Xenopus tropicalis: one gene and its partners. The protein of the gene in region 5 purifies or fractionates together with the protein of the main gene of each other region. This does not show direct contact. Links are inferred from orthologs where the notes say so. Each region holds a gene or a part of one and is shown on either strand. Other genes may lie near its edges.

The links.
Region 1: the proteins of ddx6 (region 5) and ybx1 purify together in Homo sapiens (co-immunoprecipitation; 4 studies listed by BioGRID and IntAct, with this or other methods). This does not show direct contact. The link is inferred for Xenopus tropicalis from reciprocal best matches to the Homo sapiens genes DDX6 and YBX1.
Region 2: the proteins of ddx6 (region 5) and ago2 purify together in Homo sapiens (affinity purification with western blotting; 5 studies listed by BioGRID and IntAct, with this or other methods). This does not show direct contact. The link is inferred for Xenopus tropicalis from reciprocal best matches to the Homo sapiens genes DDX6 and AGO2.
Region 3: the proteins of ddx6 (region 5) and atxn2 purify together in Homo sapiens (affinity purification with mass spectrometry; 6 studies listed by BioGRID and IntAct, counting the BioPlex papers as one, with this or other methods). This does not show direct contact. The link is inferred for Xenopus tropicalis from reciprocal best matches to the Homo sapiens genes DDX6 and ATXN2.
Region 4: the proteins of ddx6 (region 5) and dcp1b purify together in Homo sapiens (affinity purification with mass spectrometry; 6 studies listed by BioGRID and IntAct, counting the BioPlex papers as one, with this or other methods). This does not show direct contact. The link is inferred for Xenopus tropicalis from reciprocal best matches to the Homo sapiens genes DDX6 and DCP1B.
Region 6: the proteins of ddx6 (region 5) and lsm14b purify together in Homo sapiens (affinity purification with mass spectrometry; 4 studies listed by BioGRID and IntAct, counting the BioPlex papers as one, with this or other methods). This does not show direct contact. The link is inferred for Xenopus tropicalis from reciprocal best matches to the Homo sapiens genes DDX6 and LSM14B.
Region 7: the proteins of ddx6 (region 5) and mcrip1 purify together in Homo sapiens (affinity purification with mass spectrometry; 3 studies listed by BioGRID and IntAct, with this or other methods). This does not show direct contact. The link is inferred for Xenopus tropicalis from reciprocal best matches to the Homo sapiens genes DDX6 and MCRIP1.

Annotation. Positions count from the first base shown.
Region 1 is NC_030683.2:94,734,004-94,738,171, forward strand, and holds the start of ybx1 (nuclease-sensitive element-binding protein 1), read right to left. Parts: upstream 2,801-4,168; 5' UTR 2,646-2,800; coding exon 2,546-2,645; intron 1,293-2,545; coding exon 1,229-1,292; intron 411-1,228; coding exon 377-410; intron 60-376; coding exon 1-59. UniProt on the Homo sapiens protein: DNA- and RNA-binding protein involved in various processes, such as translational repression, RNA stabilization, mRNA splicing, DNA repair and transcription regulation.
Region 2 is NC_030682.2:146,755,608-146,759,763, reverse strand, and holds the start of ago2 (protein argonaute-2), read right to left. Parts: upstream 2,801-4,156; 5' UTR 2,563-2,800; coding exon 2,541-2,562; intron 1-2,540.
Region 3 is NC_030677.2:163,145,338-163,148,837, forward strand, and holds part of atxn2 (ataxin-2), read left to right. Parts: intron 1-502; coding exon 503-635; intron 636-1,480; coding exon 1,481-1,626; intron 1,627-2,195; coding exon 2,196-2,420; intron 2,421-2,773; coding exon 2,774-2,936; intron 2,937-3,500. UniProt on the Homo sapiens protein: Involved in EGFR trafficking, acting as negative regulator of endocytic EGFR internalization at the plasma membrane.
Region 4 is NC_030679.2:9,162,395-9,165,894, reverse strand, and holds part of dcp1b (mRNA-decapping enzyme 1B), read right to left. Parts: intron 2,465-3,500; coding exon 2,329-2,464; intron 395-2,328; coding exon 269-394; intron 1-268. UniProt on the Homo sapiens protein: May play a role in the degradation of mRNAs, both in normal mRNA turnover and in nonsense-mediated mRNA decay. May remove the 7-methyl guanine cap structure from mRNA molecules, yielding a 5'-phosphorylated mRNA fragment and 7m-GDP.
Region 5 is NC_030683.2:80,846,744-80,850,243, forward strand, and holds part of ddx6 (probable ATP-dependent RNA helicase ddx6), read right to left. Parts: intron 1,029-3,500; 5' UTR 752-1,028; coding exon 555-751; intron 5-554; coding exon 1-4.
Region 6 is NC_030686.2:4,395,869-4,400,025, reverse strand, and holds the start of lsm14b (protein LSM14 homolog B), read right to left. Parts: upstream 2,801-4,157; 5' UTR 2,756-2,800; coding exon 2,635-2,755; intron 1,161-2,634; coding exon 997-1,160; intron 1-996. UniProt on the Homo sapiens protein: mRNA-binding protein essential for female fertility, oocyte meiotic maturation and the assembly of MARDO (mitochondria-associated ribonucleoprotein domain), a membraneless compartment that stores maternal mRNAs in oocytes.
Region 7 is NC_030686.2:27,788,063-27,792,221, forward strand, and holds the start of mcrip1 (mapk-regulated corepressor-interacting protein 1), read right to left. Parts: upstream 2,801-4,159; 5' UTR 2,765-2,800; intron 2,720-2,764; exon of another isoform or gene 2,436-2,719; intron 2,083-2,435; exon of another isoform or gene 1,978-2,082; intron 1-1,977. UniProt on the Homo sapiens protein: The phosphorylation status of MCRIP1 functions as a molecular switch to regulate epithelial-mesenchymal transition. Unphosphorylated MCRIP1 binds to and inhibits the transcriptional corepressor CTBP(s).

The DNA of each region.
Region 1 (4,168 bases), about 14 Mb from region 5:
GTTTCACCATCTCCCACACTGCGAAGGTACTTCCTAGGGTTATTCTTCTTGATGGCAGTCTAAAAAAAATATATTTTTTTTTTTAAATAAAAAGACATTAAAAGAAATCTGAACAAATGCTGAAAACTGATTAAATCTGCTTTTGCTCTATCTAGTTCCATGGCAATATAAAAAGGTGTAGGAAAATGTCCTATCCAACTGTGGAACAGTCATGACTTTCTATTCAGTATGCATTCTTTTATTACACCAAGGCAATCCGCTTTGATCAACACTATACTCAAATACAAGTTACCATATTAGAAGTTATAGAATACATTTTCTATACTAGATTGGACTAGACATCTGTAAAAAAAACCCAGATAAGTGGAATACTTACTTGGTGTACAAACACATCTTCCTTGGTGTCATTCCTATAAGGATAAAAACAAAATGTTAACGACAAAAGGTAGAAATTTTCACAGCACAACAAAGCTAAACAAAACAAAAATAGATTAAAGGCTTGTACTGTGCAAATTAATTTATATGTATAGGTCAAACACTAAAGGCAACATAAGCACAAAAATAGGAATAATGCTGGAAAGGCATTTTTTCTACCAACCACAAAGCATTGCCTTTAGACAAAGAATGGGCAAATGAAAATATATTTCAACCAGCATCCTTTTTTTCTCCATAAAGCCCACATCATATAGCTCATTTCTGACATTTTAGGAAAGAAGCCATCTTATATAATTGTTTTTAACAAACCGATTTATTTGGTTTATGTGAAAAAAGTACATTTCCTTTCAAAAAGCAGAAAAATCTTAAGATACAGTCGAAAGGATAAGGGAAAGCTGAATTAAAGCATGCCAGCCCTGGCTACTGGGTGCAATTACTGTTTTTGTTGTGTATCTGAATTTCTACAACAGCGACAGGCAAAGATCATTTTCTTGGCACAGGCATTCATAGAAGTACAGCGCTGAAACCGGTAGGCAGTGCTACTTAGGAAGCAAGCAATACAGCAGCTCCCCATCTCTATAAAAACATTTTTAAACTATGCCTTCCCCAAGTGTTAAGTAATTTAAGTAACTTCTGGTATTGCTTAACCGCATATCCTGGAATATATACTTGCTAAACCATATTAAAACAAGCATTTATGGGAAGTACCACGTGCATGGCCCCGAAGGGTCAGGCAGGCTGTAACAAGTTTACCAAATTACTAATCTAAGTTGGGGCAGAAATATGAACTCACCTGTTAATGAAGCCGTAACCATTGCGCACATTAAACCATTTGACCGTACCCAAAACCTTGGTTGCTGAAAGAAAATAAAAAATCGTTAGTTTGGAGTGAGGCACAAGATCAATCTAATATGCACAATAGAGCAATCACTTTCTGGCAGCACAGTAGCACCATAAACACAGGGGGTGGGTGGTGGTTTGGAAAGCTAACTTTTACAAAAAAAAATAATTAGAAATTATAAATACTAGTTACATGCAACTTATTGATCAGCAGCCAGTGAGATACAAGCCAAAGCAATACATAAACACTGCTAGTTTAATGGCTATCTGGACATACAACTTCAATGGCTACTGGGCCAGGCACAGCTATACAGTAATTACATTGAGTAGGATGGATGGGGGTGGATGGGGGAAGAGGAACAAAAACAAAGCCCTATCCCATGGCCCTGGTAGCAACATTTCCTGAGGGAAAGTAATGCAACTGGTTGTGTGCATTCCCACTCACTGCTATATAAACACACGGAATTACAATTAAAGGCATCAGCAAACAAACATTGCTATTTGGGGCCATAAGAGTGTTGTCAATTCTTTTTTTCAAATGAAAAACTACAACTCCCAGAATCCCCGTTTATTGCCAAGCGCTATAAAGGCTGCTACTAAGCAAGCCGAGTGCAAAGATAGACTAAAATGGCTCTCATGCCCCTCCCGCTCAGGCCCAGGCGGTACGAGCAGCTCCGTGCCACAACTACTCACACACCACGTGGCTGGAGCCGGGCCAGAGCCGCAACCCGAGCAGCCGGGACACACGGAGCCGCCAATTCCCAGCGCCATCACGGCCCTCACACTCCCCCGTATGTTTGCAAAGCAAACGTGAGGCCAGAGGCGCTACTGGGGACCCAGCAAAGGCGCGGCGGCATACAAAAGAGGAGGTGGGGGGGGTGTAGGCCGCAGGCGGCGGCGGACATGTTACAGGCCCTATTCCTCTCAGGACACAGGAAGGGATGATGTCACGGCGCTGCGGGGGGGGGGGTGATGTCACGGCGCCGGGGGGGGCAGAGATCCGTCACCAACAACTCCGCGTGGCACGACACTCCACGTCGGTGTAACCGCCACTCACCCGCGCCCTATAGTAAAAGCGAAAACCGCTCCCTCACACTATAAATAAACAGATAACCGCGCCTGTTTGTGCAAATATCTAGTAATCGCCTTAACCAACGTGACTGCACAGGGGATGCTGGGAGTAGTAGTCATATTGAGCCTGACGCGCCAAATACCCAGCCCTGCCTGTGTCCGAGAGGCATCTCTCGTATGCTAATTCAATCGTACTTACCGATGACCTTCTTCTCCCCCACGGTGGCCGCCGGTTCCTGGCCGGCCTTGCCCTCCAATGCGACTGTCTGCTGCTGTTGTGTTTCAACCTCGCTGCTCATTGTGTCTTTGATGGTGTAAGTTGGCTGCTTTCGGAGGTGGTGACTCGGGCCGGCGGTTGGCTCGCTTTAACTTCCCCCCGGGGTGTTGATGGTAACTCAGGCCGGCGGTGGGGCTGCTGCCTTTCGAGCTCCCTGCTGTCCGCTCTCCGCTCCCGCTACCGATCGAACTGCCTGGCAATGGCCTTACAGACGGGTTAATCATCGCAGACATCCCGCCCTGGCTATTATCCTATTGGTCAATTGGCTTGTCAGTCTACGGGTTTAGTAAAAAACTCTGCAGTTGTATGGTCGAATGGCTTGTCAATCAAGAATCGACGCGCTCTGTTTGGATGTGTTCCTTCTGTAATCTTATTGGCTAAGGCAGATGTCAATAACAGGATTGGAGGGATTAGTCTCTGCCTCTAGCGTCTGCATTATTGGATGGGATGTAGCTGTTGAGCTCTAAGGCTGATATAAACAGTGATCAATAAAGTGTAAGGTGTGGGGGGTAGGATAAATGCAATAAACTATTGGGCAGGTACCTCAATATTTGACTTGTGTTTAGTTCAGCTGTTTCCCGGCACATCAGCCCTTATGAGCTGAAGGTAATGATACCAGATCACTCATATAAGGGGTTGTGCTTAGGCAACGGACTCTGTCTATTGTTATGGCGCTGAGTCCAAATCCAAGGTTTTATGGAAGTATGGCGTATTGCTTATTTCCTAATCCTCGGATTGTCTAACGGGCAGGCCCCCCCGACCTCATGTCTTGATTTCTGTTTGTTTCTTCGCAATGGTGTAATTTCTGCCTTATTGCTTATATTTTCCCAAATACATTACACAGCAGAGTATATTAGTGTTTTATAAATGGGCTTTAATAATAGCGGGAATAGTCACATCAGCAGTACACTTGCACAGCCTAACTTGCAGTATGCTCCATAGCTGCAATAACAGCATGCACATCGCAAATACTAATATAAATGTGATAGTTTAAGACACATTAAAATCTATCTCATATAATTTTAATAAAACTCCACAAAAGCAAATGAGAATTAAATAATATGAATTAGTCTTTCTGACTGGTTAGGTCAGATCAATAATGATGTATGAGCTGACAATTCATGGTTCAACACTGACTGATTACTGGTCTATTAAAGGAACAGTAACACCAAAAAATGAAAGTGTTTTAAAGTAATTGAAATATAATGTACTGTGGCCCTGCGCTGGTAAAACTGGGGTGTTTGCTTCAGAAACACTACTATAGTTTATATAAATAAGCTTCTGTGTAGCCATGGGGGCAGCCATTCAAGCTGGAGAAAAGGCACAGGCACATAGCCGATAACAGATAAGACACCATTGTATTCTACAGGATTTATCTGTTAGCTGCTATATAACCTGTGCCTTTTCTTCTTTTGAATGGCTGCCCCCATGGCTACACACCAGGGTTTATATAAACTCTAGTAATGTTTCTGAAGCAAACACACAACTTTTACCAGTGCAGGGCAGCAGTACATTATAGTTTAATTTCTTTGAAATATATACATT
Region 2 (4,156 bases), on a different chromosome or scaffold from region 5:
CAGAAAGCCTTACAACTGGTGCACGTACATTCCAGAGCCCCAACACTGCACAGAGAATGTATAATGGATACCGGCTAATGCCCCAGCTGAGCTAACACTCCAACTTCCCTGCAACAAACACACGTGCAATGCTCCCATTCAAAAGCAGCCAAACTAGCAGTATATGCTGGACTATGGCAGGCAGCCCAATCACACAAAACCTTTCTTTTAACAGAACCCCATTCAGAACCCTTACTATCATGTGACTTAAGCCATGTTTAAATCATGCACCTTTACGCTAGCCATACATGGTGAGATCCGCTCCCCAAGCGAGTGGATCTTCTCCCGATATCCCCACCCACGGGTGGACGATATTGGGCTAATTTGGCCCTGGGGCCAAAAGATTGAATAAGAATGGCGGGTATAAGGTGCTGTCGGTTCAGGGACTGCGTCAACAAGCCAACGCGGACCATGATCCAACGGAGAAACCAAACCAGCACAAACATCTGGCCAATTTCAGGGCCTCAGTCGGGGAGGCCCATTGTTCGTACCCATACACGAGCAGATAAGCCACCGAATCGGTCTAAAGGACCAATATCAGCAGCTAGAATTGGCCTGTTTATTGCCACCTTTACCCCCCTTGTTTCTTTGCCAAGACCTTTCAGTAAAACACAGATTAGTGCATTGGTGTTTGTGCCCACTTCTGTCTGATTCTGACCTCAACTGCACAGGCTCCTGGCCAACAACCGCCCCAAGAGAGCTGGACATCAAGCGGCCAGAGACGGCAGCCATTGCTAATTTTTAATACAGAAAATTTGCTGCACTTTGTTTTTTCCAAGTTCTAGTTGTGCATCCCAAGATGGCAGCCCCCATTGCCACTACACAACTCTGCATCTGTTTAACAGGCACAGGGCAGATCTGGGCAGTATGGGTGGGATGGAAACCTCTGCAGGGGGTACATGATACACACATGGGTTTCCTTGTCCTTTAAAACACCATACAATTATTTTTTAAAACCGTTACAGGCAGCACTCCATAATAGCATTAAAATGACTATTATCACTACAACGGCAACAGCAACATTTTGAGCCTTATTGGCTCTCTATCAAGCTTGGGGTGTTATATTGATATTATGGCTGCAAGTGTCCAGGAGTGGGGGCCCCTGCTGGATGTGCACCCATTGCTGAATCGTGCTACTGAGTGAGTTTTAAGGTCCCCATACACGGGCCGATTCTAGCTGCTGATATGGGTCCCTTAGACCGATTCGGCAGCTAATCTGCCCGTGTATGGGCACTACCGACGGGCCTGCCCGACCGATATCTGGTCTGAAATCGGGCAGATCTCGATCGGGCAGGTTAGAAAATCTAGTTGGATCGGGGACCACATTGGCTAGTTGATGCAGTCCCCGGACCGACTTTGCCTATACCCGTCGTTATAATTCAAGTCAAATTAGCCTAGATTCTCCCGATATCGCCCACCCGTAGGTGGGGGATATTGGGAGAAGATCCGCTGGCTTGACCACATCGCCAAACGAGCGAATCTGAAGGTGTATGGCCACCTTTACCTACTGGTTTGCAATTTTTTTCCTTCAGATGAATCCAATTTACCAGCGCTGCTCATAGTTACACATGCAAGAGTGTCTGGGTCACAATTACGTAGGACAAAACGCTCACAATTAAAATGAATCCACAATCTGTTAGTCGGAGTAGCAGCTCACCCTAACATTGCCTTTAGTACAGTGATCCCCAACCAGTGGCTCAGGGCAACATGTTGCTCCCCAACCCCTTGGATGTTGCTCTCAGTGCCCCCAAACCAGGGAGTTATTTTTGAATTCCTGACTTGGGGGCAAGTTTTGGTTGAATAAAAACAAGATTTCCTACCAAATAAAGCCCCTGTAAGCTGATAGGGTGCATAGAGGTGCCTAATAGCCAATCACAGCCCTTATTTGGCTGAACATTTATGGTGCTTGTGTTGCTCCCCAAGTCTTTTTACATTTGGCTGTGTCTCACAAGTAAGAAAGGTTGGGGACCCCTCAGACAAAGTATTCCTACTACAACTCGCACTTGTGTTTTTTTTTAGTTTTCCTGCTTTTTAATGACTTGCGATTTGTTCTCCGGCTAGGAATTTAAAATGGTTGCCTGGTTACTAAGGCCCCACGTTCCCTAGCAACTACACCGCAGTCTGAATGACAAATGATAAACATACGGGGAAACCCAATAGAAAGATACATAATAAACAATATATGCCCAGCCTCCATACTACAATTTAGGGTTCCTAGGTCAGCATTGAAATGCAGCACTAAAACAGTTAAACACACAATATCATGAAAATAAAGACCAACTGCAAACTGATAGTCCCCCTCTGTCACCACTTGTTGCTGAACTACAGCTCCCAGCATTCCTAGCAGCTGGAGAGTAGAAGGACAGGTGGAGAGGCACAAGTTGGAATGACCCCCACTCCGGCTCCCCATGTGACCAGGCGGCCCTCCCGCCGTTTCCAGGGCTTCTAGGGCCCTGACTCTCCCAGCGCAGTGGGATTGGGATAAAGCAGCGCTAACTCACCCGGCCCGGCCCCGGCGTACATGTCTGCGGCCCCAAGAGCGAAGTGCGAGGGGGAAAATAAAGTTCCAGACACAGGGGGTAACGCAGCCAGTCCCGCCCCCTTCGCTGTGCACAGAACCCCTCAGAGAGCGGCCAGTCAGTCCGTTAGGGCTCCATGGTGTAAGGCACGGTGTGTGGGAGGGAATACGCCGAGTTCCCGCCTCTCGCTTCTCTCGCTTCTTTCCTTTTTTTTCTCTTTCTTTTGCGCGACATGAACTGAGGGGAAAACGGCCGGCGGACAGAGGCTGGGGGGCGGGACACGCAACGTCAAGGGGCGGGAACTCGGCGCATTGGAGGGAAGGGGGTGACGTCACACGACGCGGGCGGAGCTCTGGCCGGGGAGAAAAGGGAAAGCGGCTGTTGCTGGGCGGAGCTTTTTTCCTCTTTAGCTTGTAATAGAAATAAGGGGGAGGGGGCGGGGCCAGACGCGGCGGGTTTGGTTATTTTTCAACAATAATGAGCGGCGCTGGGTTACTCGCCGGAAGTGAGTGCTCTGCCATATTGGGTATGGGCAAATCGATAAAGCGCTAAACTTTGCCTTTGCCCGCGAACTGTGTTTATCCGAGGGCTTAAAGCGATTACATTGACGGACAATGGACTGTTTATGTCTGGTCTTCGTCATCTGCATTTTGTCTGTTAGGCTGAGCAGCCCCATAAGCCATACACCCTGTAATAAATATAATGACTATACGGTTCTGCGTTTGTGACCAATATTTGAAGGGCATTTTTTTTTTTAGAATTTCTTTATTATTTGATTTCTTTTGGAAATGTAAAATACTGTCTGGTTGCTAAGGTGAGTGGTACCCAGTAACCAGACAGCAGTGTATAGATTATTTCTTCTCATGGATGGACCTGGGCTAACAGTTAAGGTGGCCATACACTTAAGATCTGATTGTTTGGCGAGGATCTTCCCCCAATATGCCCACCGACGGGTGGTTAGACGGCAGTAACAGGCACTGTCGGATCCCACAGAAATATCAAACCTGCTCAATTGAAAGCTGGCCAATTTCAGCCAGATGTTGGTCGGGTGCCCAAACTTGGGCAGATAAGCTGCTGAATTGGTCTAAAGAACCATTATTGGCAGATGAAATTGGCCCGTGTATGGTCACTTTCAATGTTACACACCTTGTATTTTTCCACTGATATGAAGGCGCCCAACCCTTTCCTAGTGCTATCTAATGTATCTGCCATTACCAGCCCTTCAGGGAAAGAATCCCACAATTTCTTTTTTTTTTTTTTGTATTTTAACTTTTTTATTGATCATAAAACATTACAGTCAATGATTCACAAAGTTGTGTGTGGTTACATCAATAAAGTATACAAGTATGATTCATTGTGTATCATTCCTTTAGGGAAGGGGGGAGGAGGTAATGGGAGGGCGTTAGGGGGGTTGTGCGGGTCGGGGTCTTGCTTTCTCAGAGTCCTGAGCTGCTGGGAGGTGTAAAGTAAAAGTCAAAAGATGTATACATAAGGAAAACGAATGGTGTTGTAACTTCTCGAACTAAAACCAAACTGGGTGGGGTGCCTCTGAGAAGTTAACCCAGGGGTGGGCAAACTTTTTGGCTCAGGGTCCACAT
Region 3 (3,500 bases), on a different chromosome or scaffold from region 5:
AGAACTTGGCATGTATGTACATAATATTGCGTAATGCTGCACATTACAAGACCCACTCATCCATTGCGCAGCTTGAAAAAGGATAACTTTGCACATACTGCAGTGTACCTGTTCCTTCTTAGAGCACCAGCCATACCTGGCTCTCCTAAACAGGTACATTGTGTGGTGGGGTCACTGAAGCTTGCATTGTGCAGTGACGCTCTGGCTTGCCATGTTCCATTGCATTATATTATTGGTATGATGTGCAGTTCTTTGTATAGCCTTTGTTATTCGGCATCTGTCCAATGTCAGAAGAACTAGGAATCCCAGCCATTTGAAAAGCACAAAATGTTTTCTTTTTAAGTCTCTCCTATTAAATTTTGCAGGTCTAAATTAAATTGGCCCAGTCACTTCTTTTACTTTTTTTTTGCAACTTTTAAAAAAAATAATTTTAAAATGTTTCTTTTTTCCAATTTATTTTATTTATTTAAAATATATCTTTCCACTATTTTGTGTATTTCAGCACCCACATGTATATAGTCCTGTGATACAGGGGAACACAAGAATGATGGCACCACCATCTCATGCACAGGCTGGCCTTGTATCCTCCTCCGCTGCACAGTATGCCACTCCTGAACAAACTCATACCATGTATGGTAAGTACCCAAATATGCAAACTAATCTGCTGTAAACTGTTTATTGCAAAATGTGTTTTTTCTGTTGATCTGTCAATTGTTGAAATTTGAAGCAAACTTGAAAATTATTTGGCCCAGTTAGTATTTTAAGAAGGTTGGACACACTTGAGTTAGGCAGTATTTACTAAAACTATGGTGTTAAATGCATGCCAGTATTTATTCTTTGTTGGGTAGATTAGTGAGTTCAAGCCAACCTGAAGATTAAAAAAAAAAATGCACTGCCTTTTGGTTTAAAATAAGGAATGGATTGTAACTGGAATGCAACTGCACCAGTAGCAAACTGTAGGTATGGGCTCTGTTGTCTGGAATGTTAGGGACCTAGAGTGTTCTGGATGGGGGATTGTTCAGTGATTTTGACCACTACAACTTAAGTCTGCTAAAAATCCTTTAAACATGAAGTAAACCTAGTAGGATTATTTTGTCACTAATATGGATTCATGCAGCCGAGTTACCATTAAGTACAAGCTACTGATTTATTATTTGCTTAATATTGAGTCTATGGGAGATGTCCTTCCTGTAACCTGCAGTTTTCTCAATAACCGTTTTTTTCAGATAAGGCATGTCATCCCTATACCTTTACACTGTTATAAATATGCAACCATGGTCTGGTCACAGTGCATCCCTTGATAAATATTACTCTAACATTAAGTGCTGTTTTTATTGGGGGATAAATATATTAATGGGTACAGAGTGTTACACCTCCATTGTTCGTTTAACATGCATGGTAACATCCGTAGACCTTTTTGTCTTTAGAAAATGGTACAGTTTTCAATTTTTTTTTTTTTTTTTTTTTTTTATACTTTTAGTTTCAACTAGCTCATTAGCACAGCAGTATGCTCACCCAAATGCAGCCCTGCACCCACACCCACCTCATCCTCAGCCTTCAGCAACTCCTACCGGCCAACAGCAAAGTCAACATGGGGGAAGTCACCCAGCTCCAAGTCCAGTTCAGGTGAGCTAATGGAGTTGTTTGAACGTGCATCTCTTGAACTTTGTGTGTGTTTCTGATACTGTATGTTGTGGTCTTAGTCGATGGTGAAGGAGAGGATGCTCGTAAGTTTACTTCCTTTCCAGTAAATTGTTAGATTTTCTATATTTTCCATATTTAACAAGCCACCCCCAGTTTCCCTATGTCCTATTGCTGGGTATGGTATAAATTTTGAATCTTAACTGGCCATTTTAATAGATTTCATGTCTTACTGTGCCTCTTTGCCTTTGGATGAATACATCATCCAGTCACTGCCCCAGTGGAGCCTACAGTCTAAGGTCTCTATCACATTCACTATGGTCAGTTTAGAAGGAACCAGTTGATCTGCCTGTATGTTTGAGTGTGGGAGGAAACCTACACATATTTACAAACTTCTTAATTTGCACCTTTTTAGGGGGTGTTGTCACACTTAAATTTTTAAATAAATTCTTATCTTATTGTGTAATTGTTTGCCTGCCTGCCTGTATGTATGAATAAATTAATATATTCCTAAACCCCCCCCCCCCCCCCCTTGCTTTGCTAAATGATTACAGCACCATCAACATCAGGCATCACAAGCTCTGCATCTGGCTAACCAACAGCAGCAGTCTGCAATTTACCATGCAGGACTTGCTCCAACGCCCCCTGCCATGACACCAGGCTCCAACGCACAGTCCCCACAAAGCAGCTTCCCAACTCAACAGACTGTGTTTACCATTCACCCATCACATGTCCAAGCAGCATATACCAATCCGCCTCACATGGCCCATGTGCAACAGGTAATCAGTTATGTGTAATTTCATAATGGTATAAATAATCCGTGTACAATGCAATAATTGTTGGTCTTCAAAGCTCTTCAAGCTTTAATCTGTGTCTCATCTATCTATCTCTATATATCTATCTATCATCTATCTATCTCTCCTTTAAATATGTTTGTAACATGAGAGATATTCTGGAAACAGACCTGTGATGTTATCTGATAAAAAATATTTCATGCATTTTGTGATCAGAATAAAATCCTTTTTTTTATAAAAGGGGTTACCGGTAAGTGAAGACAGTAGTAATAACACACCTGGGATTTTCTCTGGTTATAGTGCAACATTTATACATTCCTATAAATGTATTAATGCAGGCACATGTACAGTCTGGAATGGTTCCTTCTCATCCAACTGCTCATCCCATGATGTTGATGACTGCTCAACCACCTGGGGGGCCTCAAGCTGCTCTTGCTCAAAGTGCCCTACAGCCCATTCCTGTCTCAACTGCACACTTTTCCTATATGACACATCCTCCAGGTTAGTAGTTTGGCCTCTTATGTGGCCATGAGCATTAGTCAAAACTGAGGAAATGGTTATGTTTTTTTCGCTTCAGTTATTCTTGCCATAATGGCAAGGCAGTTTTAAACACTCCTGCTGTTGAACCTTTTTATAAAGCTGCTGCTAAAGAACTTCTGAGTATCAGCCTTTTCTCTGGTGACTTTTGTCTGTAAACCCATTCTAATGACTTCACTGGTATGTGAAAATGGCTTACAGATCATAACTGCAAACAGTTAACTTTGAGTAGCTATTACTTGCTCAAGCATGAAGACGGTGCTGCACAAATTCCAACAGAACAGAATAGGAATGGAGCTTACAACCATCGTCACCATAAGTGAGCACTGAAATGAACACAGCCTGGCTGAGCTGTTACAGAAAAGCTATTGTGTAGCAGCTTTTCAAAAGTAACGGCAGAGAAGATTTATTTCAAAGTTGGTTTTTATTTGCCCTTTAAAAACTCTGTAGTCTTCATTTTGTAGAAAATGTATTCTATTTGCATGAATTTACAGTTGTCTATTTTATTTAATATTTTATATTCAAACC
Region 4 (3,500 bases), on a different chromosome or scaffold from region 5:
GCTGCATCAACGAGCCGATGCGGTCCCCGATCCGACTAGATTTTTTAACCTGCCTGATCGATATCTGCCCGATTTCAGGTCAGAAATTGGTCGGGCAGGCCAGTCGTTAGTGCCCCTACAGGGGCCGATTAGCTGCCGAGTCTGTCTAAGGGACCCATATCGGCAGCTACTATCGGCCCGTGTATGGGGACCTTTAGGGTAGGCCACTGCTCCCTTCTAGGTGGGTCACAGTTAGGAAAGCACAACCCTAAGCCCCTACTGCTCTCACCTCTAACGCTCTCACCTTTCCCGGCTGGGACTCACTGGGTTTAACAGCAATGGGCTTGATGAGGTTGGGGTTGGTGTAGATGGCCGATGAGCTGGTGATCATCTTGGGCTCGGAGCACGACTTGCACTGTGCAAAGAAACACAACAATCAGACACTTCCATCTCTCACAAGTGGGTACGGAAACATTTGCACTTGCTTTCTGAAACCAACAGTTTCCTGACTCGTAGTAGGCTTAGTTTTCCTTTAAACAGGCAACCATATTTTTTTAGTAATTTGGCCACTGCCACTGTTCCAGCATATACAAAAAGTCACTGTATTGTCAACTCAATAATATGCCAGTGGAAGACCTACTAAGAGAGAGCTAGATATAGAGAGATAGATAGATAGATAGATAGATAGATAGATAGATAGATGGATGATAGATTGATAGATAGATAGATTTTATAGATAGATGACAGAGATAGATGATAGATAGATAGATAGAGAGATTAAATAGATAGATGATAGAGATAGATAGACAGACAGACAGATAGATAGATGATAGACAGAACTCAATAATATGCCAGTGGAAGACATACTAAGAGAGAGCTAGATATAGAGAGATAGATGATAGATAGATAGATAGATAGACAGATAGACAGACAGATAGACAGACAGATAGACAGACAGACAGACAGACAGACAGACAGACAGACAGACAGACAGACAGACAGATAGACAGACAGATAGACAGACAGATAGACAGACAGATAGACAGACAGATAGCCAGACAGATAGACAGACAGATAGACAGATAGATAGACAGATAGGCAGATTATAGACAGATAGCTAGATAGATAGACAGATTAAATAGATAGATGATAGATAGATAGATAGATAGATAGATAGATAGATAGATAGATAGATAGATAGATAGATAGACAGATAGATAGATAGATGGACAGACAGACAGATTAAATAGATAGATGATAGAGATAGATGATAGATAGATGATAGATAGATAGATTAAATAGATAGATGATAGATAGATAGATAGATAGGCAGACAGATAGATAGATGATAGACAGAACTCAATAATATGCCAGTGGAAGACCTACTAAGAGAGAGCTAGATATAGAGAGATAGATGATAGATAGATAGAGACAGATAGATAGATGATAGACAGATAGATAGATAGATGATAGACAGATAGATAGACAGATTAAATAGATAGATGATAGATAGATGATAGACAGATAGACAGCTAGATAGACAGCTAGATAGATAGACAGATTAAATAGATAGATGATAGATAGATAGACAGACAGATAGACAGACAGACAGATAGATAGATAGATGGACAGACATACAGATTAAATAGATAGATGATAGATAGATAGATAGATAGATAGATAGATGATAGATAGATGATAGATAGATAGATAGATAGATAGATAGGCAGACAGATAGATGATAGACAGAACTCAATAATATGCCAGTGGAAGACCTACTAAGAGAGAGCTAGATATAGAGAGATAGATGATAGATAGATAGACAGATAGATAGAGACAGATAGATAGATGATAGACAGATAGATAGATGATAGACAGATAGCTAGATAGATAGATTAAATAGATAGATGATAGACAGAACTCAATAATATGCCAGTGGAAGACCTACTAAGAGAGAGCTAGATATAGAGAGATAGATGATAGATAGATAGATAGATAGATAGATAGATAGATAGACAGACAGATAGATTATAGACAGATAGCTAGATAGACAGATTAAATAGATAGATGATAGACAGATTAAATAGATAGATGATAGATAGATGATAGACAGCTAGATAGACAGATTAAATAGATAGATGATAGATAGATAGATAGATAGATAGACAGATAGACAGATAGGCAGACAGATAGAGAGATTATAGACAGATAGCTAGATAGATAGATTAAATAGATAGATGATAGATAGACAGATTAAATAGATAGATGATAGACAGACAGAAAGACAGACAGACAGACAGATAGATAGACAGACAGACAGATATACGGGATTGTATTCTCCACACTCACCTTGGTGTACTCATCCTTGGCTTTGGTTAACATCTGCAGTATATCTGCCCCCTTCCCATCCCCTGTGCCCAGGGGCATTGGAGAGACTCCGCTGGCAGCTCCCTGTTGGGCTTTCAGTTGCTCCTGCTGAGTTAAGCTGGGAATGGAAATATAAGGGATATTAAAAGTCTTATTTTTATGACATTGCCCGGATGTGCCCAGTGGCACTGGTTCTGCTGTGTTACTTAAGAGCCACTGAGCATTCCCTGTGCAGCAGCTCTGTGTATGTGATTGGGCATCTCCCAGCATAGAGTAGTAAGGGAAAGGCCTGTAAAGCTCTGCGTATACATGTCAGGGCTATATAAATATGGGGTGAGAATTAGCAGCGAGTAACGTCCCCCAAGGAAGACCTTCCACTCACAGAATAAACTCTGTGAGTAATTGGAAATTATTATCCACATGTTCCTACTGAACCCAAAATGGACCATGTGGGACTGGGCTATAATGTACCATATGAAGGCGGCAAATATTGATAATCAGTGTGGGTCTACATATTATTGATTGGACAAATACAAATATACAGAGAAGGAATGTTCTGGGCACACAATAAGCTGTACCCCCATACTGTACTGTCTAAGGGAAACACTATGGCACCCCCTACCCATATGTATAAATACAAATATACAGAGAAGGAATGTTCTGGGCACACAATAAGCTGTACCCCCATACTGTACTGTCTAAGGGAAACACTATGGCACCTCCCTCCCATATGTATAAATACAAATATACAAAGAAGGAATGTTCTGGGCACACAATAAGCTGTACCCCCATACTGTACTGTCTAAGGGAAACACTATGGCACCTCCCTCCCATATGTAAAAATACAAATATACAGAGAAGGAATGTTCTGGGCACACAATAAGCTGTACCCCCATACTGTACTGTCTAAGGGAAACACTATGGCACCTCCTACCCATATGTATAAATACAAATATACAGAGAAGGAATGTTCTGGGCACACAATAAGCTGTACCCCCATACTGTACTGTCTAAGGGAAACACTATGGCACCCCCTACCCATATGTATAAATACAAATATACAGAGAAGGAATGTTCTGGGCACACAATAAGCTGTACCCCCATACTGTACTGTCTAAGGGAAACACTATGGCACCTCCTACCCATATGTATAA
Region 5 (3,500 bases):
AGGTCTGCAAGTAAACAAAATAGTTCAAATGTATTATTAAACATCAGTAAAATGTATGATGGCACATATTTGCGTTATAAGTTATTCCTATACATGAACATTTGTAGATTACCCTAACAATAGACTGTGCTATTATGTGCTTATTATGGCCAGAGCATATTTGACCACAGACATTTGATGTAATGGATTTGTGGCCCAATGTATGAAAAGGGTGCAGACAAAACCAATATAGAGTTTTGCTTTGAAGACCACTTCTGGCCACTATTTAAAGGCAAGTCATGTCAGCAGTTGTAAATGCATGTCTGTAATAACTATGCAGTTCAATTTTAATAACAAGCGCCATATACTACAAAGTGCTACTACACAAACCTGCAGAAGATTCCAAGATGACTAAGCAATTGTACAAAAGACTAGACATTACAAATACACATCTCAGGACACTTCCATTATTATGAATAGCATGTTTTGTTTTCTTAAAAATAAAACATGGATAAACCAGAGGCCCAAATAAGGTTTTTATAAGTGGTGATAAAACAAAGGTAGAGTATACTCACTTTATAACGCTGCTCATGCTCTGTGCTTGCTGCTGACTGCCACTGTTGATTGTGCTGGCATTTTTCAGCTGGTTTATTTGTTGTGTCTGTGTCCCCCCACCTCCAGGCCCTGCACTGGGTTTCAATGGGCCTCTTAGCTGCCCATTCTGGCTGGACATACCCATTAAAACAGGGTTCTCGGTTCTGGCGGTGCTCATTTTGTTTTGTATTTAATTAAATTGTCCCTTTGAAGGTGTGTCTTTTCAGCTTCACAAGGTTTAAAGTCAGTACAGAGACTGTAATAAGTTTATTTGACTCTTCGAAATGAAGAGATAAAGTCTTGCTCAATATATGAGTCTTTGTTATTGCAACACAAGCAAGTGCTTGTCCTTAAAGTCTGTCAACAGTGAAATCACTTGCTCTGGTGCACAAAATCAATTTCCTTTATTAAAAAAAGCCCAAAACTAAGAATAAAGTCCGTTCCTTCAAGTCAATCTAGAATAGAAAAAAAAAATTAAATTATTAATATACCTTAAATGAGGAAGCCCTGTTGCCAGGTTCTATTTACTATGCATTTATGGATAGTGGGAAACACTTCCACAAGCTTGAAACCAAGAGACACTGGGAGTCTCAAACACAACTTTGCAGACTGTAAAAAGCTATGGGTGAAGACAGAGGGGGCAATAAGTAGCTGCAGCTTTCGAGAAACCCCCAGTCACAGAGACTAAACACAGCCGCAGCAACTAACTAGTGTAAAATATACAAGTTGCCACGACTGTGCAATACAAGTCACTGCAACTTAGAGGTAGCATTTAGTCTCTGCAACTAGATTTATCGCCCTATTTGTCTTTGCTCTAAAATGTAGTCTTAAATCTGCACCAGTCAGCTTAGGTTTTTTTTTTTTAGTTTTTTTTTTTTTTTTTTTAGAACACTGGTCTTTTAATGCAAATATATTGCCTTCACTCAAAACTAAAGGTACTAAAGTAGAAAGGACTAGACACAAAACGTCCTTGCTGCAACTAACAACATCTCTTTTGCACCAAAAGTGACAAATAAGTTTGTTATATATTATGTCCCCTGCAGTAATCTCTAACAAAAGATCCTAAACATAAAAATGTCAAAAGCACAATTGATTTTTTCAACGAGTTTGTCTTAAAGGAACAGTAACTCCAAAAAATGAAATAGCTTTAAAGTAATAAAAATATAATGCACTGTTGCCCTGTACTGGTAAATTTATATAATAAGCTGCTGTGTAGCCATGGGGGCAGCCATTCAAGCTGGAAAAAAGGAGAAAAGGCACAGGTTACATAGCAGATAACAGATAAGTTCTGTAGAGTACAGTAGTGTTTTATCTGTTATCTGCTATGTGCCTGTGCCTTTTCTCCTTTGAATGGCTGCCTCCATGGCTACATAGCTTATTTATATAAATTATAGTAGACTTTCTGAAGTAAACACACAACTTTTACCAGTGCAGGGCAGCAGCACATTGCATTTTAGTTACTTTTATACACTTTCATTTTTTGGTGTTACTGTTCCTTTAAAGGGAAAGGTCAACTTAAAATTTACTTTAAACTACTTGGTAATAGCATTTATACTTTACTTCTTTCCAGACTGAAAAAGTTACACAGCTATATATATATATATATATATATATCTCTATCTCAAAGCTACTGAACGCTAGGGTAATTAAAGGGATAGTAAAAATGTTCTCAATTTAACAAGAACATGTGACTATGCCTACATAACTGGCATCGTAAGCTATCCTTTTGTAAATGCCATCATGCCTTCCTCCAACCCAATGTTAATCAACATGTGCCAATCCCTGACAGTGTGGAAGAAGGCACCTTCATGGCATTGGCAAACATCTACCGTATATACTCGAGTATAAGCCGAGTTTTTCAGCTCCCAAAATGAGCTCAAAAAGGCCACCTCGGCTTATACTCGAGTATATATATTGAACCCCCTCCCCTGGACATACCTATTTTATACGTTAATTATTTATTGAACCCCCTTCCCCTGGACATTCTGCGTAGGCTGGAGTATATGCGGTAATGATTATTTGAACCCCCTCTCCTGGGCATACCTTCGCGCTTTAACGTGCACTCAAACCCCCCCCTGGATACACGTGCATGGGCTCCTGCGCCAGCACTCCACACTCTAATACAGTCTTGCTCGTGCAGTCCGAATTCCTGGACATACGTTCGTGCAAGAAGCGCGACTGCGCGTTCGCCGTAACCCCCGTCGCGACGTGGTGCCCCCTGACGTCACGGGGGGGTGGGGGTGCGAGCGATAGCGAGCAGCCACACGGGAACGCACACACGTATGTCCAAGAGCGGGGACTGTTTGCACGAGCAAGAATGTATTACACCTAAAAAAAATGGAACTCAGATACAAATGCCTTAAACTGTTCAACAACTGAGGTAAATCACACATAGTTTTGCCATTTTAGGATATATATTATATTTTGCTATACAGCAATGTATAACTAATTTCATATGCTGTGTTCAGCATCATTTTCTATTGCAGTTAGGCTTGATTATGTAGTATTCTGTGTTTATTACACTTAGTATTGTAGCTTTTGCTTTGTATTGATTTTTACTGTTCATATAGGTTTTTTATGTACACTTTCCATGCTTGATAGTTATTGCTGTAATAGTGTCCGATTAGTGTTTCCTTGTTTCATAGAAAGTATATCAGTGTGGGTGCTGGCATTAGCCAAGTACTGTTGTAAGGTGAAATGTGTGCCTATGTACAACTTATAGGTTTGGACCAACTATATACAACTGATTTATAGATAACAATGGGAAATAAATGTTAAAATGTCATTTATATCAAATATTTCATGTATCATATACATGTTAACATTTAAACTCAGCATGGCATATATTGGCCATACTTCCCACAGGTTTAAAAACCACTCTGCTGAGCACCATAGAACAATTAAAGTGCTGTAAATATTTTGTACTG
Region 6 (4,157 bases), on a different chromosome or scaffold from region 5:
CTACTCTGCCCATAGCGGGTAAGGCTCTAGCCACGGCTCAGCAGGTTTATGGCACCCATTAACCACCCAGGGCTCCCAAGCCTACTCTGCCCATAGCGGGTAAGGCTCTAGCCACGGCTCGGCAGGTTTATGCCACCCAGGGCTCCCAAGCCTACTCTGCCCATAGCGGGTAAGGCTCTAGCCACGGCTCGGCAGGTTTATGCCACCCAGGGCTCCCAAGCCTACTCTGCCCATAGCGGGTAAGGCTCTAGCCACGGCTCGGCAGGTTTATGCCACCCAGGGCTCCCAAGCCTACTCTGCCCATAGCGGGTAAGGCTCTAGCCACGGCTCGGCAGGTTTATGCCACCCAGGGCTCCCAAGCTTACGCTGCCCATTGCCCACTGATAAACAGTTTTTAGGTTTCTGCTAATTGCCCCCTGGCTAATTATAGGCCCAAACCGGTTGCCCTGGCAGTCCCGCGCCTCCCCAGCCACGGCATTACCCCTCCCCACCCATTAGGAGCTATTTACTGCTTACTCACCCCCCCCCCACCACAGCGCTCATCCTTGGCGCTCGCTATCATTAAATTTGCTACAGCAGGGAATTCTAGGACACGAGGGTTATATAAACGTGAACCAAATCCAGCGGCGCCGCTCAATTAGCCAGAAATACTCCCTAACCCTTTCCTTGCCAGACAGATACAGCAGCAAAGTCCAAGAATACCAGGAACAAAATGGTGGAAGGGGCTCAAGAAATGTGACTACCCCCCCCCCCAGCTCACTTACCCTTTATTAATGACGTCACATTGGAGTATCAGGGATGGGGGCAACAATGTGCTCTAAATGTATGTGGATCCCCTGCAGCCACTTGCCCTAGGTGCCGGCCAGCCCAGCACTGAGCAGCCAGGAGCAGCACAATACAGCTTGCTAGGTAGACTTTAAACCATATTAAAGATTCATATTAAACAAATAGGAGACTCAAACGACCAAGCGCATGAGTGGCGCCGGCCCAACATACCTGGACTATAGCCGGGTCCTGCGGAAGAGCATGGGAAGCCTTTGGGGGTTCACATACGGTGATGTCCTTAATATCGCTGCCGCGGAAAATGATATACTCGTAGACTTCCTCCCGAGGCGGGGCTGGCCGGTCAGTCGGGCGATCTTCCGTCCCAAACGAGCGGACTAATTATAATTAGAGAGTGAAGATTAGTCAACGACTGAGCAGGAACTTGGCTGGAAATGTCAGTTTGTGGGATCCCAGAGATGGGTTGATCCACTGCAATCTATAACGCAAGCAACTCGCAGCTCGTTAGTGCCTTAATGTCTTTAAACTGAGCAGGGGAGGATGTGCCAGGGCTTTGCAGCACTGCCAGAAAGGCACGCAGCTCCCTGCCAATAGGGAGAGGGGGTAGAAGTATAAAAGGGCATGTGGAGGTGGGGAGTATAATATAAGGGGTGCACTGGAGGCAGAATCTTGTATGGGGGGGTAGTATAATATAAGGGGCACACTGGAGGCAGAATCTTGTATGGGGGGGTAGTATAATATAAGGGGCACACTGGAGGCAGAATCTTGTATGGGGGGGTAGTATAATATAAGGGGCACACTGGAGGCAGAATCTTGTATGGGGGGGTAGTATAATATAAGGGGCACACTGGAGGCAGAATCTTGTATGGGGGGGTAGTATAATATAAGGGGCACACTGGAGGCAGAATCTTGTATGGGGGGGTAGTATAATATAAGGGGCGCACTGGAGGCAGAATCTAGTATGGGGGGGTAGTATAATATAAGGGGCACACTGGAGGCAGAATCTAGTATGGGGGGGTAGTATAATATAAGGGGCGCACTGGAGGCAGAATCTAGTATGGGGCGGGTAATATAATATAAGGGGTGCACTGGAGGCAGAATCTTGTCTCCCCCTGCTGTCCAGGTAAGATGGAGGTTGTAGTTCTAAAGGCCCTGGAGGACAGCAGGTTGGGAACCCCTGGGCAAGAGGGCGGGTAGGGGGGCACAAGGGCAGAGACTGGGGTGGCTAGGGGGGCACAAGGGCAGAGACTGGGGTGGCTAGGGGGGCACAAGGGCAGAGACTGGGGTGGCTAGGGGGGCACAAGGGCAGAGACTGGGGTGGCTAGGGGGGCACAAGGGCAGAGACTGGGGTGGCTAGGGGGGCACAAGGGCAGAGACTGGGGTGGCTAGGGGGGCACAAGGGCAGAGACTGGGGTGGGTATGGCAGAGAGGGGAATAGGTGGGAAGTGCAATCCCTATGAGTGGCCCCTACCAGCAGAGGGCAGTGTGGGAGAATTGGAAGCCATAACAATAATACCATTCTACCCCACCCAGCAGCGAATCACAGGGCAGAAGGCAGGGCCACTAACGAGCTGAAGCTAATGGGTCAGTCCTTCCTGCAGGGGGCAGTGTGGGCTCCACGGTCACATTACCCCAAATCTCCGACACCTGCCCCAATTACCCCTTTCCACCTGCGCCAATTACCCCCCACCTACCGCCACAAGCACCAGGCTCTAACAACACTCCGCCTACCCCCACCGGACTGGCGACTACGACTCCCAGCATCCCCCGCTAGCCATCGGCAAGTGTCAGCCTTGCCCCGACCAAAAGCCCAATGTCAGCCCTATTGCACCCGAGGGGCCCGCTGCGCACCTTTGGCTAGGGCCACGGTGGAGTTCTCGGTATCGATGGTATACAGGATGCCTTCATAGCGGATCTGAGCCTTGGAGATCAGGCTGATCTTGCTGCCGATGTACGGGGTTCCCGAGCTCATGATGCTCGGCTCGGCCTCTGGCCCCTCTTGTCTCCCGAATATTTCCTCAGGGTCCCCTAGACTGCCCCGGGGCCGCCCACTACTGCACCTTTTATACCCACACCTCTGGCACCGCCCTCCCCCGCCCCGACACGCCAGGGGGTGGGGCTTAGCGGAACCCGCAGCTTTGTTGCTGCGCAATTCGTGTGCCTGTGTTTTTTTACCTTACGGAGGGCTGTGACGTCTCAGGCAGCCATTGGCTAAGGCTAGTCCCGGCAACTGGTGACGTAAAAGCAATTCGATAGAGCACGGCAAGCGTCGCAACGCGTAGTGGACGTATGTAATGGTGGATGGTCGGCCATATTATTGGTGGGATATAGCTCCGACTATAACTATTTTGTTCAGCGATTTTGCAGCAGTCACCATTTAAGCATTTAATACAAGTTACAATTACTATCATTCCTGCGACCAGGTCGTTCTTGCCCCCCCGTTGACGTTTAGGTCTGAATTATCAGATATGGAGGTAGAAACAATAGGAATTCTACCACTAAACGCTTGGGCGCCCGATCAAAACCTTTTGTACCACCCAATTGATGAGACAACGGTAACATTGGGCCGGCTTTATAGATTAGAATTCAATCAAGATTAAAATAAAATCCTTGTGTTTTAGTATTGTTGTTCACTTTTGAGATAACTTTTAGTATGACGTAGAGAGTAATATACTGAGACAATTTGCAATTGGTCTTCATTTTTTATTATTTGTGGTTTTTTTTTAGTTATTTCAATTTTTGTTCAGCAGTTCTGTAGTTTGGAGATTTAGCAACTACTTCGTTGCTAGGGTCCAAATTACCTTAGCGACTAGGGAGCAATTTGAATGAGAGGATGGTAACTTAATTGGAGAGAAAAACAAGTTAGAAAAAGTAACAATAACAATAAAACTGGAGCCTCACAGAACAATAGGTTTTTGGCTGCCGGGGTCAGTGACCCCCATTTGAAAGCTGGAAAGAGGCAGAAAAAAAAGGCAAATAGATCAAAAACGATAAGAAATAAATAATGAAGACCAATTGAAAAGTTGCTTAGACTAGGCAGTTTTATAACATACCAAAAGGTAACAAAGGTGAACCACCCCTTTAACGTTTAAAGAGACTGTTCCTGTGACATTAACGTTTTAGAAGGACATGGCAAATAGCAATTTGTGGTTAATCTTTATTTCATATCCATCATATTTTTTGCATGATTTGACCTAGTTTGGAATTGGGACTAACTGGCTGCTAGAGTCTAACTAACTGGACTAACTGGCTCCCAGCAACCAGGCAGCTCTTTGAGCAGAAGACTGGAAGAAAGATTTTAATAGAACTATAAACCATAAACACATTCTTGACTTTTAAATGTGACCAACTGCACAGATGAATGTTAGTGGGTA
Region 7 (4,159 bases), on a different chromosome or scaffold from region 5:
AGGGGGGGAGCAGGAGGAGGGAGAGAGCAGCATAGCCTCCAGGAATGGAGAATTTTTCTGAGAGAGGAAGTCAGATGCCCAAAAAACAGGTTTACAAAAAAAAGGAGACAAGAAACCCTGTGTTTCTTTTGATAGAGGAGTGCAGCTTTTCTGTGAGCGCTTATGTCTCCATCCCCTTTACTAGTTTAGTTGCAGTCTCTGCACTCTCTCCAGCTCATTAATATCCTTCTTAAAGACTGGAGCCCAAAACTGCACCCCATAATCAAGGTGAGGCCTTACCAGGGACCTATAAAGAGGCAAAATTATGTTTTCATCCCTTGAGTCAATGCCCATTTTATACAAGACAGCACTTTATTTGCTTTAGTAGCCACAGAATGACACTGCCTGGAATTAGACAACTTGTTATCTACAAAGATCCCCAGATCCTTCTCCATTAAAGATCCCCCCACTACATTACCATTTCATTATCCATCTCTACTTCATCCTTGATCTGGCTGCAGTCTGTAAAACTTAGTTTAGTTGTACATTAAGTAGCTGCTCTATTATGGGTGAAGACACAGACCTACTCGCAGTAGCTACTTGTCATTGCTACTAAAATAGACAATGCTGATCATTTACGGATAATCGTCTTTGTTTTAGCAAAGGCAATTCTCATTGTCTATGGCAGGGTATTTTCTGGCGCTTAGTAGCAGTGACATGTAGCTGCTACTTAGTAGCTCTGCCTTCACTCTTAAGGTTACTGTAAGAAAGTATATAAAGATAAAATTATATGGAGTCATAATATAATTCTTCTCTTTTTATAAACAGTCTTAAAGTGGCCATACAAACTAAGATCCACTCGTTTGGCGGATGGGCGATATCGGGCTAATTCGGTCGTTTGGCCCTGGGGTCAAACAATCAAATTACAACAACAGGTATGGGCGTCAGCCGATTCGGGGACCACATCAATGAGCCAATCCAGTCCCCAATTCCACTAAATTTCAAACCTGCCCGATCGGCAGGCCCGTCATTAGTGTCCATACATGGGTTGATAAGCTAGCGAATCGGCCTAAGGCACCAATATCGGCAGCTAGAATTGGCCCATGTAAAGGTCCCCATACACGGGCCGACTATAGCTGCCGATATCGGTCCTTTGGACCAATTCGGCAGCTAATCGGCCCGTGTATGGGCAGAACAGAGCGGCCTTGGGACCGATATCTGGCCTGAAATTGGCCAGATGTTGATCGACCAGGTTAAAAAATCCAGTCGGATCGGGGACCGCATCGGCTCGTTGATGCGGTCCCCGAACCGACTGCCCCATAACCACAAATGTAATCCGATTGTTTGGCCCCAGGGCCGGATTATTTTTTTTTTAAGCTAGTTTCTACCCGATATCGCCCACCTGTAGGTGGGGATATCGGGTGAAGATCCGCTCGCTTGGCGACATCGCCAAGCGAGCGGATCTTATAGTGTATGGGCACCTTTAGGCCATCTTAATTGATTGTGAATTATTAAATGCATTAGTTGCTCCTACTATTTATTAGTTGGTTACATTTTGCACTCACAAACACATCTGCATCTCATCCCTAAGCACAAACCCATCACCTTTCAGGAAAATTCATAACATTAAGCTTAAAGCACAGGCAACACCATATTACAAATCTTTACTGTTGCCTGACTAGACTGGTGGCACGCATGACGGTTTCTCAGCCTGCATATAAACACCCACGTGTGGCATTAGCCTTACACAGTATAATAGACAAGTACCAAAAAAAAATGAAACGTGGCACCAAATAACTACGACTAGTTCTAATTTTCAAACCTTCAGTCTACATGCATACTAGCACTTAGAAGGCAGCCATACACCTAAAGATCCAATTGTTTGCCAATCTTGCCGAAGGAGCGGCTCTTTCCCCAAAACGGCCACCTGGCCCTCGGGCCAACCACTGGATCATAGGCAAGGGGAACGCAGCCTTGACAAGCGAATGTGTTGCTCACCCCAATGGGATTCTTAAACCTGCCGATAGATCTCCATCAGGATATCTGTTATACACAGCAGATAAGCTGCAGATTCCATCGGAGAGGGCTGAATGTAGTGTTTCCCTGTGTGTCACAAGCACAAACACTTTATCAACTTTCTTGAACTTCTGTTGTTTCTGTCACCACCAGGGGATTACTGGGGAAATAGAGCCGATTAGCTGATTAGCAATTATGTGTTTCCCACATCTCCATGGCGATTTGGTTGGAAAGGTACCAGGCTGCAACCATAACAAAGATCTCTCCAACCAAAGCCCTAGGGTAACACAGCCAGATCCTGCCCCACAGACATTAATCAGCCACCAGTCCCCAATCAAGCACCAGCCTCCTGCTATAGGATATTTACGAAATATTTTGAAAGGGTGAGAATTCCCAGGTAAGAAACATCCCAATCCCAGGCCATGCCGCCGGGCACGTACTGTGGAGCCATGGGTCCCGCCGCGCAGCCTCACACACTTCAAATAAAATGACCTATCAAAGCCCACTTGGTATTTGGAAAGGATTCCGCTCATTCTTAGCGTCGCCCTACAAGCACAGTGAGACAGGCTGAAACCCCCGGCTGTGACTCGCCAGCTGGAGCGCTAGGGACGCCAAGCGGGGAGCGCTAGAGACAATAAAAGCGGCACAGCAAACCGCATAAGCGCGGAGAATGAGGGCTACAATGAGAAACATCAACTAAGCGCATGTAAATGTGCCAATTTATACAGCCCGTTCCCTTTTGGAGGTTCCGTTACTTCCGCTTTCTCACCCTTCTGCTGTATTTCTCCGGTTCCCAGCTGACCAGGCCCCGAACGGAAATGACATCAGAAGAGGCAGGCCTCCGCTAATAAATGACGCGCCCCTTAGCGGTGGTCACATGGTATAAGAGATGCCGGGCGAGTTAGAGCGATGCTCTGGTTACTAATGTTCCATGTAGTAGAACCATTAAAAAGTTAGACATATGCAGTGCTTTTCCGCGTCTTGTTTTTGTGCTTGCTGGAAATTATGAAGGCAGTGTGTGGGGCAAAGTTTGCTTATGGTGCAATAGCCTGAGTTGTGTCAGTGTCCATACTGGTGCTAAGTCCGGGGTTTCCAAGTATCTTTGCGTGGGCACCATAGTAGCTTTTATACATGCAAATACCAGTTATATGAATGGTTTCTATGGGTGCTCAATTTGTGCCCATTTGTAGCGTGTCATAATTGGTTGCATTGTAAATACTATCAGGGTGTGTTTAGGGCGCACGAATGTAAACATAGATTTGTCACGGTGCAACAAATCTCCCTTGTTGCGGGCGACCAATCTCCTGAAATGCTATCCCAGGTTCTGCATCGGCTTGTTGATGCGGTCCCCGATCTGACTGAATCTTTTAACCTGCCCAATTGATATCTGGCCAATTTCAGGCCAGATATCGGACAGGTATGGCCGTTGTTTCTGCCCCTACACAGGCCGATAAGCTGCCAAATCGGTCCAAGGGACCGATATCGGCAGCTACAATCGGCCCGTGTATGGCAGCCTTAAGGGCCGTGACAGACGGGGAGATTAGTCGCAGTGCAACAAATCTCCCTTGCTGTGGGCGACTAATCTCCCCGATATGCCATCCCACCGGCGATTTACATTCTAGCTGGTGGGACGGCATTTCGGGGAGTTAGGTTGTCCGTGACAAGGGAGATTTGTTGCACGGTAACTAATCTCTCCATGTGTCACAGCCCTAAAGGTTCTTTTGTCCATATTAGCATTTTCAAATTTCCATGGTGACATATACAACCTCACATTCTGTGTGATGTAATGAACATGTGCAATGACATCACTTCCTCCCAACTATGTCTCCTGAGTTGTGTGTTAGCCGGAGTGACTTGGCGTTGGCTCTTACTGTGCTTGCACACATTACTATACAGGTAATTGCACTAGCAAAACGATGTCTGCGGCTGCCCATTGTCACTTATATACTTCCTCTGGCACACTATTTCCAGGTGGTCATGGTGATAAAAAGCATTTCCCTTACATATCATTGGATAGTCTTATAGCTCTTTTACCTCAACCATGCAATCTATTCCATTTACATGTACAAGATGCCCATTATAGGTTATCACCATGGCAGCCTCTTATCAGGACATAGAAAGATTTTTTTGGAAAATAACCTATTCATAAGGGCAAGAACCCACA